Linked DNA regions of Caenorhabditis elegans. The protein of the gene in region 1 purifies or fractionates together with the protein of each later gene. This does not show direct contact. Each region holds a gene or a part of one and is shown on either strand. Other genes may lie near its edges. The genes, in order: ddx-15, snr-7, rsp-3 and sap-140.

What was found.
Region 2: the proteins of ddx-15 (region 1) and snr-7 fractionate together in Caenorhabditis elegans (co-fractionation; one large-scale study listed by BioGRID). This does not show direct contact.
Region 3: the proteins of ddx-15 (region 1) and rsp-3 fractionate together in Caenorhabditis elegans (co-fractionation; one large-scale study listed by BioGRID). This does not show direct contact.
Region 4: the proteins of ddx-15 (region 1) and sap-140 fractionate together in Caenorhabditis elegans (co-fractionation; one large-scale study listed by BioGRID). This does not show direct contact.

The regions. Positions count from the first base shown.
Region 1 is NC_003281.10:5,588,526-5,593,634, reverse strand, and holds ddx-15 (Pre-mRNA-splicing factor ATP-dependent RNA helicase ddx-15), read left to right. Parts: upstream 1-1,916; 5' UTR 1,917-1,928; coding exon 1,929-1,984; intron 1,985-2,039; coding exon 2,040-2,136; intron 2,137-2,183; coding exon 2,184-3,771; intron 3,772-3,823; coding exon 3,824-4,184; intron 4,185-4,225; coding exon of another isoform or gene 4,226-4,226; exon of another isoform or gene 4,227-4,238; coding exon 4,239-4,356; 3' UTR 4,357-4,573; downstream 4,574-5,109. Other genes in the region: ucr-1 (Cytochrome b-c1 complex subunit 1, mitochondrial), read right to left, coding at 1-25, 78-195, 247-304, 354-596, 641-840, 890-1,106, 1,156-1,281, 1,424-1,477; F56D2.2 (RBR-type E3 ubiquitin transferase), read right to left, coding at 4,574-4,777, 4,826-5,109. UniProt on the Caenorhabditis elegans protein: Pre-mRNA processing factor involved in disassembly of spliceosomes after the release of mature mRNA.
Region 2 is NC_003279.8:2,725,405-2,727,910, forward strand, and holds snr-7 (putative small nuclear ribonucleoprotein G), read left to right. Parts: upstream 1-1,609; 5' UTR 1,610-1,613; coding exon 1,614-1,742; intron 1,743-1,795; coding exon 1,796-1,900; 3' UTR 1,901-1,978; downstream 1,979-2,506. Other genes in the region: Y71F9B.6 (Cyclin N-terminal domain-containing protein), read right to left, coding at 354-503, 582-666, 735-862, 914-1,071, 1,125-1,247. UniProt on the Caenorhabditis elegans protein: Plays a role in pre-mRNA splicing as a core component of the spliceosomal U1, U2, U4 and U5 small nuclear ribonucleoproteins (snRNPs), the building blocks of the spliceosome.
Region 3 is NC_003281.10:12,686,201-12,689,517, reverse strand, and holds rsp-3 (putative splicing factor, arginine/serine-rich 3), read left to right. Parts: upstream 1-1,601; 5' UTR 1,602-1,611; coding exon 1,612-1,781; intron 1,782-1,828; coding exon 1,829-2,216; intron 2,217-2,282; coding exon 2,283-2,501; 3' UTR 2,502-2,817; downstream 2,818-3,317. Other genes in the region: spin-4 (Major facilitator superfamily (MFS) profile domain-containing protein), read right to left, coding at 749-889, 942-1,096, 1,152-1,191. UniProt on the Caenorhabditis elegans protein: Plays an essential role in embryogenesis.
Region 4 is NC_003281.10:7,498,029-7,503,771, forward strand, and holds sap-140 (U2 snRNP-associated SURP motif-containing protein), read left to right. Parts: upstream 1-1,648; 5' UTR 1,649-1,733; coding exon 1,734-1,766; intron 1,767-1,828; coding exon 1,829-1,961; intron 1,962-2,003; coding exon 2,004-2,116; intron 2,117-2,225; coding exon 2,226-2,398; intron 2,399-2,448; coding exon 2,449-3,741; intron 3,742-3,927; coding exon 3,928-4,408; intron 4,409-4,526; coding exon 4,527-4,957; intron 4,958-5,002; coding exon 5,003-5,147; 3' UTR 5,148-5,213; downstream 5,214-5,743. Other genes in the region: C07H6.9 (Serpentine Receptor, class Z), read right to left, coding at 805-1,017, 1,060-1,202, 1,247-1,337, 1,381-1,419.

The DNA.
Region 1 (5,109 bases):
GTAGATTCCGAACAATCCAGTGTCTCTGAAAAAAAGAAAATAAAAATTTAAATAAGCTTGCAAAAAAAGATACTTACTTGTAGTTGATGTTGAAATGCTGGAGGTTATGGACTCCGTGGTCGTGTCCGATTTTTTGGACAAGTCTGGAAGCAGCTGTTCTGGATGTAGCGTGGGTCACATCCCATTGGCCTAAAACTCATCAAAATTACGGTTTGAATTGAAAAATTCACACAAAAGCCAACTTACCAATGAATTGATTGGCAATTTGAAGAGCGAGAGCATCTTTGTGGGCATATCCAACACCCTAAAAATGAAGTAAAATGAAAGACTGAACACACATTTATTATTTGTACCTCAACAGCGAAAGCAGCATACATGTGTGGGACATTATCGTTGCGGTATCTGTATTCAGATCCGGTGAATCGTGTTCCATCGACCTGTGGAACCTTTCGTGGGTATTCGTTGCTCAAGTCTCCGAAATATTTATCGGCGAGGCTTGAAACATTGGAAACTCCTCCTCCGACAGCGGACAGAACCATGCGCACTGGTCTGTAATGATCCTCTTGCCACTCCTTCAATTGTTGAGCAGAGATATTCTGAAAAAATAATCAACTTTATGTAAACCCAAATAAATACTTACTGGAATGCTCTCACTGGTTCCGAGAACGCTGAGAGCGAGTGGGGTGCCTTGGAATCCGGCAGCGTGGAGCATATCGAAGAGGACAAGCTGATGATAGTCATCGGAAGCTTCGAGCTCTTTGAGAAGATTAACTCTTTCGGTATCGATGGTTGAGGCCTCAAGCTTGCTGTTGCGGAGAACATCGGCGAGGATATCGACAACTGAAAATTTTGGAAAATTAACACAATTTTATAAGTTACAAATATTTACCTTTCTCAACATCTTGAGCTCCAGCTTGGACAAAAACTGCGGTTTGGTCACGCTCAGTGAACGAGTTGAGTTTTGCTCCGATAGCATTAAGCTCGGATTCGAGAGCAGCAGATGCTCTCTTTCCAGTTCCCTTGTGGATCAATCGCTCGAGGAAATGTGCGACACCGTTGTTCTTCTCGTTCTCAAAACGAGATCCGGTCTCGATCCAGACTCCCACCTACAATTTAAAACAAAAGAAATTTTAGAAAACTAGTGGGCAAAATTACGGTAGCGGTGGCGGATCCATTATCTTCGGTGACAACACGGAAGCCATTCTTCAAGGTGGTAACTTCAGCTTGTGGAGCGCTGGCAAGCACGTCCTTCACGGAGACAGCTGATGAAGCATTGCGAACCTGAAAATTAATTAATTTAATTAGATTTTCTACATTATCATCGTTGTTACGTTCTCCATGCGACCTGTGGGCATACAACTTTCAATTTTATTTTCAATTAAGAGTTTTTATTTCTCTTTTAGCAATCTCACAAGAAAATTACCTGGCTATTGAGAGCCGGACGCAAAGCAGAGCTGACGGCGAGTCTGAGAGCCATTCTCTCAAGTTTTCCCCTGTTCTCTGAAAATAAAAATATATAAATAGGATATTAATCGATAGATAAAAATTCAGAGAACATTATTTTAAATTGAAAAACTTGAAAAAATATATCTGAAACTCGAAAAGAAGCTGAAAACAACTAAAACCATCAAGCCGCCCAGCAGTGCAGAGACGCAGACAGCGGAATCGCTTCGAGACCCACCGAAAGTTTAAAGGCGCACCCGTAAATCGCTCCATACTTATTCCGAATATATTCTGCGAAATTCTGTCTTTTGTTCCCAATATCTCTATATTTGCTGATTTTCTCCTTTTTCAACTAGTTTTCTTAATTTGTCATACATTTAATCCATTTATCCTGCGCGTAGCTTTTCGAAATACCTAATATTTTCGTATAACGCTTTATAAAGCCACTTGAAACTCTAATTTTCCTATTGAAGGAGAAACTTGCGATGTCTTCGAGACACCGATTGGATTTAGATGGCAGCGGACGCGGAGACAGAAGAAGGTAAGTAAAATTGTTGCTTCCCCAGTTCAATATAATAATAATAATTTATTTTCAGATCTCCTAACCGCAGATCCCGATCCCGCTCCCGATCGCCACACAGACGCTCCTCCCCCGACCGGAAAAGACAGATTGGGGCAGTTGGAAATATGAAGGTATTTTTTAGTAAACGAATTTTTGTTTCTCATCTCCAAATTTACAGATCCAAATCAATCCATACAACAACCAGCCATTTAGTAACCGATATTGGGCAATTTGGGAGAAAAGAAGTCAATTGCCAGTATGGGAATATAAGGAAAAGTTTATGGAGCTGCTCCGGAACAACCAGTGCATCACTCTTGTCGGAGAAACGGGATCCGGAAAGACCACGCAAATCCCACAGTGGGCCGTCGAGTTCATGAAGCAGCAGCAACAAGGACAACCACCCGGTCAAGCGAGATTGGTGGCTTGCACACAGCCTAGACGGGTCGCTGCGATGAGCGTTGCGACAAGAGTTGCTGAGGAAATGGACGTAGTTTTGGGACAAGAAGTGGGATACAGTATTCGTTTCGAAGACTGCATCAGCGAACGAACTGTTCTCAAATACTGTACAGACGGTATGTTGCTGCGAGAAGCAATGAACAGCCCGCTCCTCGATAAGTACAAAGTCCTTATTCTCGACGAGGCTCACGAAAGAACACTCGCCACAGATATTCTTATGGGACTGATCAAGGAAATCGTGAGAAATCGAGCTGATATCAAGGTCGTAATCATGTCCGCTACATTGGATGCAGGAAAGTTTCAAAGATATTTCGAGGATTGCCCGTTGCTCAGTGTTCCCGGAAGAACATTCCCTGTTGAGATCTTCTTCACTCCAAATGCGGAGAAAGATTATCTAGAAGCCGCGATCAGAACTGTAATCCAAATTCATATGGTCGAGGAGGTTGAAGGTGACATTTTACTGTTCCTCACTGGTCAAGAAGAGATCGAAGAAGCTTGCAAAAGAATAGATCGTGAGATTCAAGCCTTGGGAGCAGATGCTGGAGCACTCAGCTGCATTCCGTTGTACTCTACACTTCCCCCAGCAGCACAGCAGAGAATCTTCGAACCAGCACCACCAAATCGACCGAATGGAGCAATCAGCAGAAAGTGTGTCATCTCTACAAATATCGCTGAGACATCATTGACTATTGATGGCGTTGTCTTTGTTATCGATCCTGGATTCTCGAAGCAAAAAGTGTACAATCCAAGAATTCGTGTCGAGTCGCTGCTTGTTTGTCCCATTTCGAAAGCTTCTGCTATGCAAAGAGCTGGACGCGCCGGAAGAACAAAGCCAGGAAAATGTTTCCGGCTTTACACCGAAACGGCTTACGGATCAGAAATGCAAGATCAAACATATCCTGAAATTCTTCGGTCGAATCTCGGATCTGTTGTGCTGCAGCTCAAGAAGCTCGGAACCGAAGATCTTGTGCACTTCGATTTCATGGATCCTCCCGCACCAGAGACATTGATGAGAGCGCTGGAACTGTTAAACTATCTTCAGGCGATCAACGACGATGGAGAGCTCACTGAACTAGGAAGTCTGATGGCTGAGTTCCCGCTTGATCCTCAGCTCGCAAAGATGCTTATCACATCCACTGAACTCAATTGCTCAAATGAAATTTTGTCGATCACAGCAATGCTCTCGGTTCCGCAGTGCTGGGTTCGTCCCAATGAAATGAGAACAGAAGCCGATGAGGCGAAGGCTCGGTTTGCACATATTGATGGAGATCATCTCACACTTCTCAATGTCTATCATTCGTTCAAGCAGAGTAAGTTGACTTTGTTTTTCTTTTTTTCAAATATTAGTTTCGCATATTTCAGATCAAGAAGATCCGCAGTGGTGTTACGATAACTTCATCAACTACAGAACTATGAAAACTGCCGACACAGTCCGCACACAATTGTCGCGTGTTATGGACAAGTACAATCTTCGACGTGTCTCAACAGACTTCAAATCTCGAGACTATTATCTCAACATCAGGAAAGCTCTTGTAGCTGGATTTTTCATGCAAGTCGCTCATCTGGAACGAAGTGGACACTACGTGACGGTGAAAGATAATCAGCTCGTCAACCTTCATCCATCCACAGTTCTCGATCATAAGCCGGAGTGGGCACTCTACAATGAGTTCGTGTTAACCACAAAGAACTTCATCAGAACTGTAACTGATGTGCGCCCTGAATGGTGAGTTAATTTGCAAATTATATTATTCAAAACCTAACTAGATATGCGTTTCAGGCTACTTCAAATCGCCCCTCAATACTATGATCTCGACAACTTCCCAGATGGAGACACGAAACGGAAGCTGACTACTGTGATGCAGACCCTGCAGAGAAACGCTGGCAGAGGCTATTGATGCCTCCGAATCATCTGATCTCATTTCCCCAAACCTCTTTTATCCCTATTGCCCCTTGTCAAATTTTTTGATTGTTTCTATTTATTTTTTGTTTATTTCTTACCCCTTTCTTTTAATTCTATTTTCACTTTTAAATCAATCACCAAATCTAAAAGGATGAACTATTCATTTTATTTGACAATTAATCCGTAAATTTAGAGAAAACCGTAAAGTTATGTTAATTAAAGAAAAGCTCGTCAAAATGTCCTTCTTGCTCTAACCAATCCTCCGCATCAATATCTTCGTCGGATTCAGGATACTCGACGGTCTCATCACTGTCATAGTCACTACCGTCGTTAAATGCCATATCGAAAAGAAGATCGTCATCGTTATCTAGCAAATCGTGATGAACTCCTTCGAACAGACGTCCAGAGCATGATCCCTGAAAATGAAAAATACATTTCTTACACAATTCTAAGAAAAAACCAACATCTCCCTGAAAATGCTTATAAGGATCTTCCTTGTCAAGAGTTTCAGAGCACAACCAACAGAAGTAGGTGTCACACTTCGTACAGTGCATCTTGTGGCATCCTTCATTCTTCTCTATGCTCACCGAGCACTTGGGACACGGTTTGCTGTTCGAATCCAGCCATTCCTCATTGAGGAACCGCTCCACAAGCTCCTCGACACGCTTCTCTCCTCCAAATTGCCTGCACATTTCAGCCTTCTCAGCTTCATCTCCATCCTTCCATCTTTTGACAAGAAGCTCTTTGT
Region 2 (2,506 bases), on another chromosome or scaffold:
GAAAATTGGATTATAAGGTGAAATTATGGGAATTTATCGTATTTTTTCAAGATTTTGACCTAAAGGCGCACGGATTTTTAGCAAATTGCAGCGTTTTTTCTTACTTTCTGCTGAAAATTTGCGTTGTTTTCCTTTTTTTCGGTCTGAAAACTGAAAAATTTAACAAAAAAAACTACCACATGCTGTCTTTTCGCGTCGATGCACAGCTGAATAAACCCATGTGCCTTTAAGATCGCATAGCCGAAATTTCTGAATTCCTGCGCTTTTTTTGTGAAATTTTGTTAGATAATTGCCAGTTTTCGGGGAAAATTAGGTAGAAGATATAAATTATAGAGGAGATGTTAATTCTAAACCTTCCAAAAATCGATTTCGATCGGAATTTCTTCTTATTGACGGTTGTGTTGGCGAAAATCGGCGCCAGCGGATCCACGTAGTCGCTGTTCGGCGAGATATACGAGAAAACTGCCAGAGGCTGGCCATTCGTCGAGGTGCAGATGTAAAATCTGAAAATGTGGGTTAGTTCGCAACACGGAACGGTTAGTGTGGGGGATTTTAGAGGATTTTATGATGGTTGAACTCACCTATCTGCATGGGTAATGGTGCTTTTGAGCCTTCTCAGAAAACTGAACTGATTTGAAGAACAAGATGGTGATTCTGAGCGAAATTCTGTGAAAATTTTGAATTAATTTATTTTATTTCAAGTTTTGTAAGCTTTTATAAGCTCGCCAGCTCACCAATCAGCCCACTATCTTCTCTCCCGACGCCTTCTTCAAGAATCGGAGATCTACTGTTTGTGGCGGTCATTGAATAGATCACGTCGTCGGAGCTCATGATTTTCGCGATTCTTCGGAAGATTGAAGTTCTATAAATAGAGAAAATTAATTAATTATATTGATTTTCAACTAATTTTCACTTTTTCTGTGGTGTCTCCGCGTATTCCTGCGGCAAATTCGACGAGCTTAGCCGTTCTCCGAGTGAAGCGGATGTTCCGAGTGAGATCACTGATTCATTGTTGCGGATGGTGGTTGTGGAGCTTGCGCCGTTTGAAAACTTCTTTTCCGTTGGAGATATCTGAAAAAATTATCAATTAGTTACGAAAATCGCTGAAAAACCAAGATTCTCACCTTCGGAAGGCCTTTTGTTTGGAAAATTCGAAGATTTGTGTCATTGTGGCTTCCATCAACACTGATATTTGATAAGAAATTTTGTGCGACGAGAATATGATAGTTACTCTTCTTTTTTACCATCTAAAATTGGAAAAACGAAAAGAAAAAGCTCGGAAATCCGATAAGAATTGTGTGAGTACGGTGTGCAAGCGTCTGCAACTTGTCGTCATTTATGGTGTACCAAGCGTGGTGTTTGCGTACTATTCGAATTTCGAAAAATAATTTCGTCGATTTTAGCCTTTTTCATCCAATTTTCCTGATAATTATCATGTTTATTCTTTGAAAAATTAGTTAAAAAATGTTATAATTAATGTATTATCTGAATTTTCGATAGGTGGAAGTTGAAAAATGAGCTTTATTTTCTATTTTAAGTAAAATCTGTTTCTTTGATGATTTTTCCATTCTTCATTTTCATTTCCCCCTGCAAATTCTCAATTTTTCAGAAAAATGAGTAAGACACATCCACCAGAGCTCAAAAAGTACATGGACAAGGAGATGGACTTGAAGCTCAACGGAAACCGTCGCGTCTCTGGAATCCTCCGCGGTTTCGATCCATTCATGAACATGGTCATCGACGTATGTTTCTTTTTCCGTTTTTGTCTAATTTATTCTAAAATTTAATATTGCAGGAAGCTGTCGAGTACCAAAAGGACGGAGGATCCGTCAACCTCGGCATGACTGTCATTCGCGGAAACTCCGTCGTCATCATGGAGCCCAAGGAGAGAATCTCCTAGATTTTTCGATCTCCACAATTTCCTGTCACTTTCTCAATGTTTTCATTTTCAAATTTTGATATTAAATTTTTGAACCTTTTTTTTGATAATTTTTGATAACTACGTGGTCAAAACCCACTTCTCATCTCTGATTCACGTGAATTTCGTATAGATAAGAACTTCGCAAATAGAATCAATTCACAAACAAATGTACCAAAAGTTATGTTTTATTATTGCAGGCATAAAAAAAATCAATCGTAAAGCTTTTTTTCAGCATTTTGTTTTTCCACGGCTCAAATTGAACGAAATAGTGTTCATTTTGAAGAGAGGCACGAAACAGAGTAACAAAAACACGGAGAGACTTGTGTATCCCTCTTCTCTTTCCACTATGTGCGGTCGACGACGCTCTCCACATTTTTCTCTCTTTATTCTTCTCGTTACTCTTACTCGGCACAACAGCAGCAAAAAAGAATACTCTTTCCCCACTTCTTATCTCTTTTTCTGCCGACCTATTTTCTTCTTTCAAAACAGAAAAATGTTCCACACACACGCCTATCATCATCCGAAAGCTGTACGAGATGTGCTTTCTCATCTTTCCGTACTCTTGTGGCTGCAGCCGTCGAAGAG
Region 3 (3,317 bases), 7.1 Mb from region 1:
TTGGATTTTTCAAAAAAATTGAAAAAAAAACTCCATTTTTTCTGATTTTTGGACATTTTCCGCTTTTTTAAGAATATTTTTCACAAAAATCAATTTTTTGGAGAAAAAACGCATTATTCACTTGAGGGATTTTTCAAAAAAATTGCAAAAAAATTTTTTTTTTTTTTTTTAGTTTTTTCTCAGAATTTTGGACATTTTCCGCTTTTTTAAAGAATATTTTTCACAAAAATCCAAATTTGTGTTCTTTTTTTGGTGAAAAATGCATTAATTGCCCCAAAAAACTCAGATTTAAATTTTTTTTCTTCAAAATTTTGAAGCACTTTTTTTTTTGATATTCCAAAAAATATCTTAGAATTTTGGTAATTTTTCCGCTTTTTATAGGAATTTTTTTACAAAAATATTCTTTTTTTTCTCTTTTTATTCGATTTTCGCGGCAAAATATTCAGAATTTGTGTATTTCCAGTGAAAATTTGCCACAAAATAGCATTTTTCGCATGATTTTTGCAAAAATTGCCAAAAAAAGCGTTATAAACGTCATTTTTTATCTTCTCTCTTCTCGGTGTCATTATTCCATTATTGGATTGACCTCTAGAGCCTTCCCATCGGGCTCATTGACCTCCAGACCGCGATTTTCCCGCGTTTTTGGCTCCGCCTTTTGATCTACCACTGGAAGTGGGCTCAGACTGTCTTAGTAATTTATTCCAACATTATTTCCTTTCTATTATCGTTTTTTTCCCTTTTCCCTTACCCCTTCCCCACAAAAAGACGATGCAAAGACTGCTAAAATCCATATGCAAATTCCAGTGATCATTAGCATTTTTCGATTGTATCGATCACCCAAATATCCGAATAATGGCGCGAAAAACATGTAGAACACAATGAAAACTGTCTGAAATTATTCGGTTTTTAATTAATATTCCACAATTTTATTCAATTTTTACTTGCAAAAGGCCTTGCCCCTTATCGTCGATATCGAAAAATGTTGCAAGCCGCGACATAACTCCCACGATTGTGTATCGATCCATGTAGTTTAGCAGGTTTACGAGAAGCAGAATGGAACAAGTAACCCATTTCTTCTTTCCAGCAAGTCGGGAGGCTGAAAAAATCAAGTTTTTCGATTTAAATAATTAAATTTTCGATTAAAAACTCACCAACGTCCAAACCACTGCCTTCCTCAATTTCATTTGGCATTTAGAATTTCTGAAATTTATTATTTTTTCTTATTTTCTAATAAAAAACCGAAAACCACAAAAAATAAAAAAATACGTGACTAAAAATAACGCAGGCGCGCTCCACCGAACTCGTTCAAACTTGGCGGGAGAATGCTCATATGACGCGTTGCGGTCGCGTCGCGGTCGTTATTTTTTCGAAAACGAAGGCCGTGGCACACTCATTTCTTGTTTTTTCAGACAATTTTTATTATTTTTTCGAAGAAATGCTTGAGAATATTCATTTTTCTAAATTTTACTCGATTCTGGGTTTCTTTTCAGTCAAGTAAATGCAGTAATTTGAAGGATTTTAGGCCCAGTATTTTTTTTATTATCAATAATCTTCAGTCGCCGATTTTTTGCAAATAATCATAATTATTTCTTCATTTTCAGTGTACTAAACATGCCACGCGGCGGCTCAGAGGACCAAAAAGTCTACGTTGGCAACCTGCCAGGAGACGTCCGAGAGAAGGAAGTCGAGGACATTTTCCACAAGTATGGCCGCATCAAGTACGTCGATATCAAGTCAGGACGTGGACCGGCGTTCGCTTTCGTCGAGTTCGAAGATCACAGGTTCGTTTATTGATTTCAAATACTTTAATTAATCAATTTTATTCCAGAGATGCCGAGGATGCGGTTCGTGCTCGCGATGGCTACGAATTCGATGGCCGTCGCATTCGCGTCGAGTTCACTCGTGGAGTCGGACCACGTGGCCCAGGCGGTCGCCCACTCCAAGACGGAGGTGATCACCGCGGTGGAGACTTCCGAGGAGGACGTGGTGGTGGTCGTGGAGGTGGACCTCAGAGAAGAACCGGATACCGAGTGATCGTTGAAGGTCTTCCACCAACCGGGTCGTGGCAGGATCTTAAGGATCATATGCGTGATGCTGGAGACGTCTGCTATGCGGATGTGGCTCGAGATGGAACTGGAGTCGTCGAGTTTACTCGTTACGAGGATGTCAAGTACGCTGTTCGCAAGCTTGATGACACCAAGTTCAGATCACATGAGGTGAGTTTTTACTATTTTTGAAACTATAAAATAAATCAAAAATTGAATTAAATTTTTCTTTTTCAGGGTGAAACTGCCTACATTCGCGTTCGTGAGGACAACTCTTCTGGAGGCGGAAGCGGTGGTGGTGGCCGTGATCGTAGCCGTTCGCGCTCTCCAAGAGCCGAACGTCGTGCTTCGCCAAAGTACTCACCTCGTCGTTCTCGTTCCCGCTCTCGCAGCCGTTCCCGCTCTCGTTCTCGCTCGGCCAGTCGCAGTCCATCTCGCTCACCATCTCCACAATAAAGAGACAGCGTCTGATTCTTGAAACGGTATCGTTTTGCAATTTGAGTCGTCTGACAGAGAGTTCTGATACAACTATATCTTGCTAATTTCTTTTTTTTTGTGCTGTTTCTAATACAATTCCATGCCTCATGTTCTCCTGTTTACACACACCTTTTTCTTTTTATCGATCTTTTTGGATATATATATCCACAATTTCTTCTATTTTTTATCACCTATCCTTAATTCAAACAACCACATCCAAGTATTCATCAGCCCCACCTATTATTATTCAATAATTTCTTTTGTTGGAGGAACCACGAATAAAATGTTTTGTTTCAGCCTCCACTCCGCTTCATTCAAACTATTGGAGGAAAGGAGGAGGACTCTATAAGGAGGGAAACTAAAGGATCGCTGGACGATCAAAAGCGGGGACACACCATATCGATCGAGGATCGAATCGGTTTTTACACGATTTTCGAATCGACACACACACACACACACACACACTAGGACCCCCGGAAAAAGGATTTTATGGGAAAAGTTTTGGATTTGCCCCCTGGGTATTGTTAGGAACATAATTTAGTTAAATTTTGACCTGACGAGAGTAAAAAGAAGGAAAAATTTTACAGTTTTGGGTTCGAAAACCCCGAAATCTATTAGGAAAATCCCCTCGAATATGAGAAAAAACTAATCCGCCATGTTCAGGTGAGCCGGTGACCCGCTTCCCGGCTCACAAAAATGAATCAGCCAGGTGAGTTTCGACTTGGAATTTCGAATAAAAATTTTGAATTTTTGACTTGTGTTTTTACTTTTTTAAATTATTATTGAAAACAGAAA
Region 4 (5,743 bases), 1.9 Mb from region 1:
CGAGACAACCGGTGTCTGTCTCGCGCTCGTATACACACGATCAATGACGGTTAGAAAAAGCAAGCGAGTGGTCGGCGGCGCATAGAGACGCACAGACACTCTTTGGGTTGCTGGAGTATCTAGCCAACAGGGTAGCCGATGTTTGACGACGTGGCAATTGACAAGAAACAATTTCAAAAGGTCAGAGAATCACGACAATTTTTTATTGATACCTTCCAGTTTTTAAGCGACTCTCCAAACAATAAACGCGAAAAAGTTTATATTTTACATTCGAAAGTTTGAAAGAACACTTTTTGTTATCGTTTTTTAAAACAGGTTTCTGAGCTACGAAACTGATAAAAATCTTCGGAAAACGACTGAATCTATCAAGAAAGTGTCGATAACAGATTGGAGCTGCCATCGTCGCCTAAAACTCTTAGAAATCTAGAGAAGAAACACAGAAACACGTGGAGAACAACGGCCAAAATGAAGGAAATGTGCGAAGAAACGAGAGTGTGGAGAGAAAAACTGTGAGAGCGACGGGACGAGTAGGCCAAGCTGCTGCGAGCGACGAGTGAGAGGCATTTCGCTGCGTACATTCAACACACAAAAGTTGAATACTCAGCCAACGCGCGAAACAAAATGGCGGTAATTCAAAATTAGATTTCAATGAAAAACTTTACGAAGATTTGATGCGAAATTTCTTGAGAATAATAATGAATTAAATATTAAAAAGAATATACCAGCGTCGATGAAAATTTATTAAAGGATAATTAGTTCTAAATGTAATGAGTAATGTGATTACTTTATCGTTTTTCGATTTCCTCATTTTTCTAATTCGAACTCCTCATATTCAACCAGAAATCTGTGATATGCGTCACATCTAGCTCCGTGATGGCAGTATACGATGAATATAAGAAACCGACACGGTTGGATAACACAATTGAAATACGCCAAATCCACAATAGGCAATATTTTCGAGCTGCCAACAAAATAAATTGTTCCGAAACAGGACACATCCACCACCATTTTTATAAACTGAAAATCTTAATTGAAAACAGGAGTCAAAAGAAACGTTACATTTGTGGTAATCGTAATAACATTGAGACGTTGGACTCCATTGTATGATATAAAATATATAACTATCAAAATGCTTGTTAGAAAAAATAACGAAAATTGAATGTAAACAAGTGACAGATACACGAACGACTCTGTCTTCATATCTGCAATTTTAGTTGTTATATTTTTCCACTTTTTATTTTCTTACAGAAATAAGCAGATCCAAGATAAACCGATTGGTACCAAGTTTGTAAAGCTTCTAGGCAAATCATGTTTATAGCAATAGGACTCCAAGATCCCTTAAAATTATTTATAAAGGCAGAAACATTACAGATAACAAACTTGATCGAGATTGAATAACGGCGGAGGAGATAGACTCATAATTCTTATATGCAAATTATTTAAAAATGGTTTGTTATTTTATTTATGAATTATATGATTTGAACGTTAAATGTTAATAATAATATGAAATTGCGTGTAACTCATGAATTGAAATTAATTACGTTATTATTTTGTTCTTTCTTTTTTCAAAAATAAAATGTTTCCTTACTTAAAAGTCGCGCCGAGATCCGAAAACACGCCAAAGTGGTTGCTGGCGCGTTTCATCATAATTGCTGACGCATTGTCAGTGCCTGGTCCATTTACTGGGAAAAATCTAACATTTTAAATTATTTCCCGGGAAATTTCCCCGCAATATGAGTATGGAATGGTCCAAAAAGAGAAAGAAAGTAAGTTTCCTTGTCAACTTCTAAGTGTCACAAGCTTTAATAATACCGATTTAAAAGTTTAGACATCTGACGATGAGGAGGCGAAGTTGAACGATGCTTTGTTGGAGTTCCAAGCAGACTTTGGACAATCTTCGTCTGTTTCTTCTCAGCCTAAAACTTTTCTGAGAGGAAATGTTGTCGAGGGAAATAAGATTTGTAAGAAAATCCATTTGAAAACTATATAAACTGAATTTTCAGCTGCTGGCGACGGTGGAATCTATGCACCAAAGTTTTCAATGAACATTCCGTCTAAAACTTCGAACGTTGGATCCAAAGATTTTGATGAAGCGAAAAAATTAGCAGCCGCGAAGGTAAAATTAATAAATTTCATGCGCTTAGTTCTTCACATTGTTTAAATTGGTAGAGATGTGTTCGTTTCTTAACGGATGTTTTTAGTGAAATAAGAAACACTATATTCAGGCTCGAAGGATGCTGGAAGACGTAGCACGAAGCAAAAAAATGACAGAAGTGCCGAAAGTTGTCGTGCCAACTACGAGGCCGTTTCAAAGACCCCCGAAGCCTGGCAGCTCGAAAGCGAAACAAGATAAGCCAAAGATCAGTCAAATGGAAATGTTTAAAATGGAATTGCAGAGGTATATTGCTAAAAAAGAATTTCGAAAGAATTATATCCGTAAAATTTCAGAGTTCAAGAAGATCGAGAAAAACGGAAAGATTTACGACATCATCTGGAAAAAGTTGGAATGGATCAAGCTGTAGTAGAGAGATTGGCTCCAACAGTTGAAAGAGGATTCCAGGGAACGTCGGAGTTTGACGATGACCCGTATACTACAAATGTATATGTCTCTAATATTCCACATTCAGTAACGGAAGACGATCTATTATTTACATTTGGTTCGTTCGGACCGTTAGCCGCACTGAAAATTTTGTATCCGAGAAGCGAAGAAGAGCGAAGACGGCCGCATATTTGCGCGTTTGTAGCATTTATGTCTCGTGCCGATGTGGATAGATTTATGGCTGAAGTTCGTGTAATCATCGTTCGGAATGAGCCAATTCGTTTCGCTTTTGCTCGTCCTGTCCAGATTCCTGCTATTCCTTACTACATTCCACCCGTACTTCATGCCCTTCAACATCCCGATCCAACTTCAAATTTACCCTTCAATGCACAACCGGATTGTGCTGATGCCAAAAAGTTTCTAGAAAAGTACAATACATTTCCACCGATGCATGCATTGCCAACAAAAGGACAATATGGGTATGAGGATTTCACAGAACTGATACGGAATTCACAAATTAGAGTTGTTGTCCCCCCGGACAGGAAGCTGGTCAGAGTAATGGATCGAATGGCCGTTTACGTTGTAACCGAAGGACCTCAGTTTGAAGCTATGATATGTGCAGAAGAGTTTCAAAATCCAATGTTCCAATTTCTTTGGGATAATACCAGTGCTCTTCACGTTTACTATCGATGGAGAATTTATTCGTTGCTTCAAGGAGACACTATTGAAGAATGGCGGCGCACTCCATTTCGAATGTTCGAAAATGGGTCATGGTGGATTCCACCGTATCCCATCAATGAGTTAAGAGATGCAATGCCAAAAGAACTGTATCATATGAATTGCCTTAGAACCTATCCGGATAAATGGATGAAAGTACGTGACGGAGGTCAACGAAGAGGAGGTGAGAGCTCAAAGAATCGTCGGAACTCGGATGCTGAAAAGGAAGAACGAAAAATGCGCAGGGAAGAGGAAAAAGAACGGAAACGAAGAGAGAAGAATGAGAAAAAGAGGAATAATCGAATGTCTGATAAACGACGTGATAAACTGGAGACATTGATTCGAGAGCTGACCCCTGAGAAGACGTCGATAGCCGCTACGATGGTTTGGTGTATACAAAATGCAAAATATGCAGCTGAGATTTGCGAGTGTGTATATGATAGTCTGACCATTGAGGATATCCCACTTTATAAGAAAATTTCGAGGTAATTGACTTTTCACTTTTAAAAAAGTCTGCAAAAACACACATGTAATTCGTTTAATTCGGGATTATATTTTTTATTTCAAAATTAACTCCAAAAATATGAAGCTAAGATTTTAATTGAGCGTTTATCTGCTCAACTTCAAGTTAACTTCCATAGTTGTGCTGATATAATATTTAATTAATTCAGGCTCTACCTCATCAACGACATTCTATCGAATTGTGTACAACGTAATGTTCGGGACGTTTTTCTCTATCGTTCTCACTTCGAAGCTCTTCTGGAGAAAATTTTCGTTGCTGTCGGGAAAGCATATCGGGCGATACCGTCTCGCATCAAACAAGAGCAATTCAAGCAGCGCGTGATGTGTGTTTTCCGAAATTTTGAGGAAATGGCTGTATATCCTACAGATAAACTGATTCATAATCAAAATGTATTCCTGGGACTCATTGAAATCGGAAAAGAAAAATCGGAAGAACGGGATAACCAAAAACTGGAAGAAGAAGAAGACGAAGAAGACTTAGATGGAGTACCTCTCGAAGAAGAAAAATCAGTTCAAAATATGAACGAGTCTCTTTACGATGATGATGGCATCGACGGTATACCATTACACGAAGAAGTAAAACCATCAACGTCTACTTATTCAACTGCAAGTAAATTCAAACCTGTTGAGGTTAGTTCAAGAATCACACCGTAATTATTGATGACTTTTTACATTAAGTTCCATTTTAGTTTAATTCTAAGAAATGCTACTAATAATTTTTCTGCTGTTACTACTCAATTAATTTCAGTCTCGAAAACGTGATGGCTCCCCTATATTTTCTTCAAAATGGGACCACGACGGCCGAAAGTCGAATGAAGAAGAGGATGAAGACATCGATGGAGTCATGATTACAGACGACACGACTTCAGAGAATCTACAACGAGATAGTCTTTCTCCAGGAGAAATCAAGGACAAAGAATCTTCATTTACCGTGCTCACACCTTCTGATGAAAAACGAAGAAAGTTGATACGAGACGTTGAAGTTCGTGCCATCGCCATGCTGGATGATTTAGAAGCTGACAGAGATCCTGATGCCAAGAGAAAAGTTGACGAGTTTAGAAGGTGTGAAATGGAAAAAGTCGAGAAAGCATTGCGAAGTGGAGAATCTAAAAAGAGTGATGAGAAAAGTGAAAGAAAGAGCGAAAAGAAAGAAAAGAAGCGTGATAAAGAGAGGAAAAGGTATGGAATACTAATTTATCGTGTTATCGTATCTTTTATTTTCAGAAGTCGTTCGCGTTCTCGTGACCGTGACAGAGATAGGAGCCGCCGTGATCGATCAAGGGATCGTTCCAGAGACCGAGATAGAGATCGTGACCGGGACAGACGGGACCGTGACAGAGACCGGGATCGGGATAGACGTTATCGTTGAATTGAATAACTTTCCTTTCATTGTTTTTTACAAAATTATCATTTTTCCACTAAATAATCTTTTCACATGTGTTGGCTGGTTGCATTTAAAAAACAAGATCTAATCTGCAGAGCTTCATTTCCCTTATCTATCTTCTTCTTCAAAAGAAGAAAAAACGGAAAGATTGTTGATGGGCGGTTGGCGGTAGTGATGACATTCATTTTTCTGCACAAAGTTTTTGACGTGTCTTTGAGAAATTGAAAATGAGGAGAAGAAAAGGGGTCGTGAGAGGTGGGTGCCCTCCATACTTTGTGTAATCCCCCGTAACGAATGAATGTTTCTTGAGAAGTTCGCAGTCAGAGAGGAGTTGAGTTTTTTGTCAATTTTCTTCCGTTCCGAGATGATCTCGGATAAGATCTTCGATGTTTTCAGTTTAGATATGATTTCGCTTTTTACATTAGTGCTGATCAACTTCTAAAATACACACATCTTTAGTTGTTTAATTTTCTACATGGTCACTGGAAAATGACCAAAAGTCATTCCCATCATTTCCGGATTTACTCTCTCCAAATCCATTCAACCATTAAATCAACTCTAGTCCACCTGGTTCGGTTTTC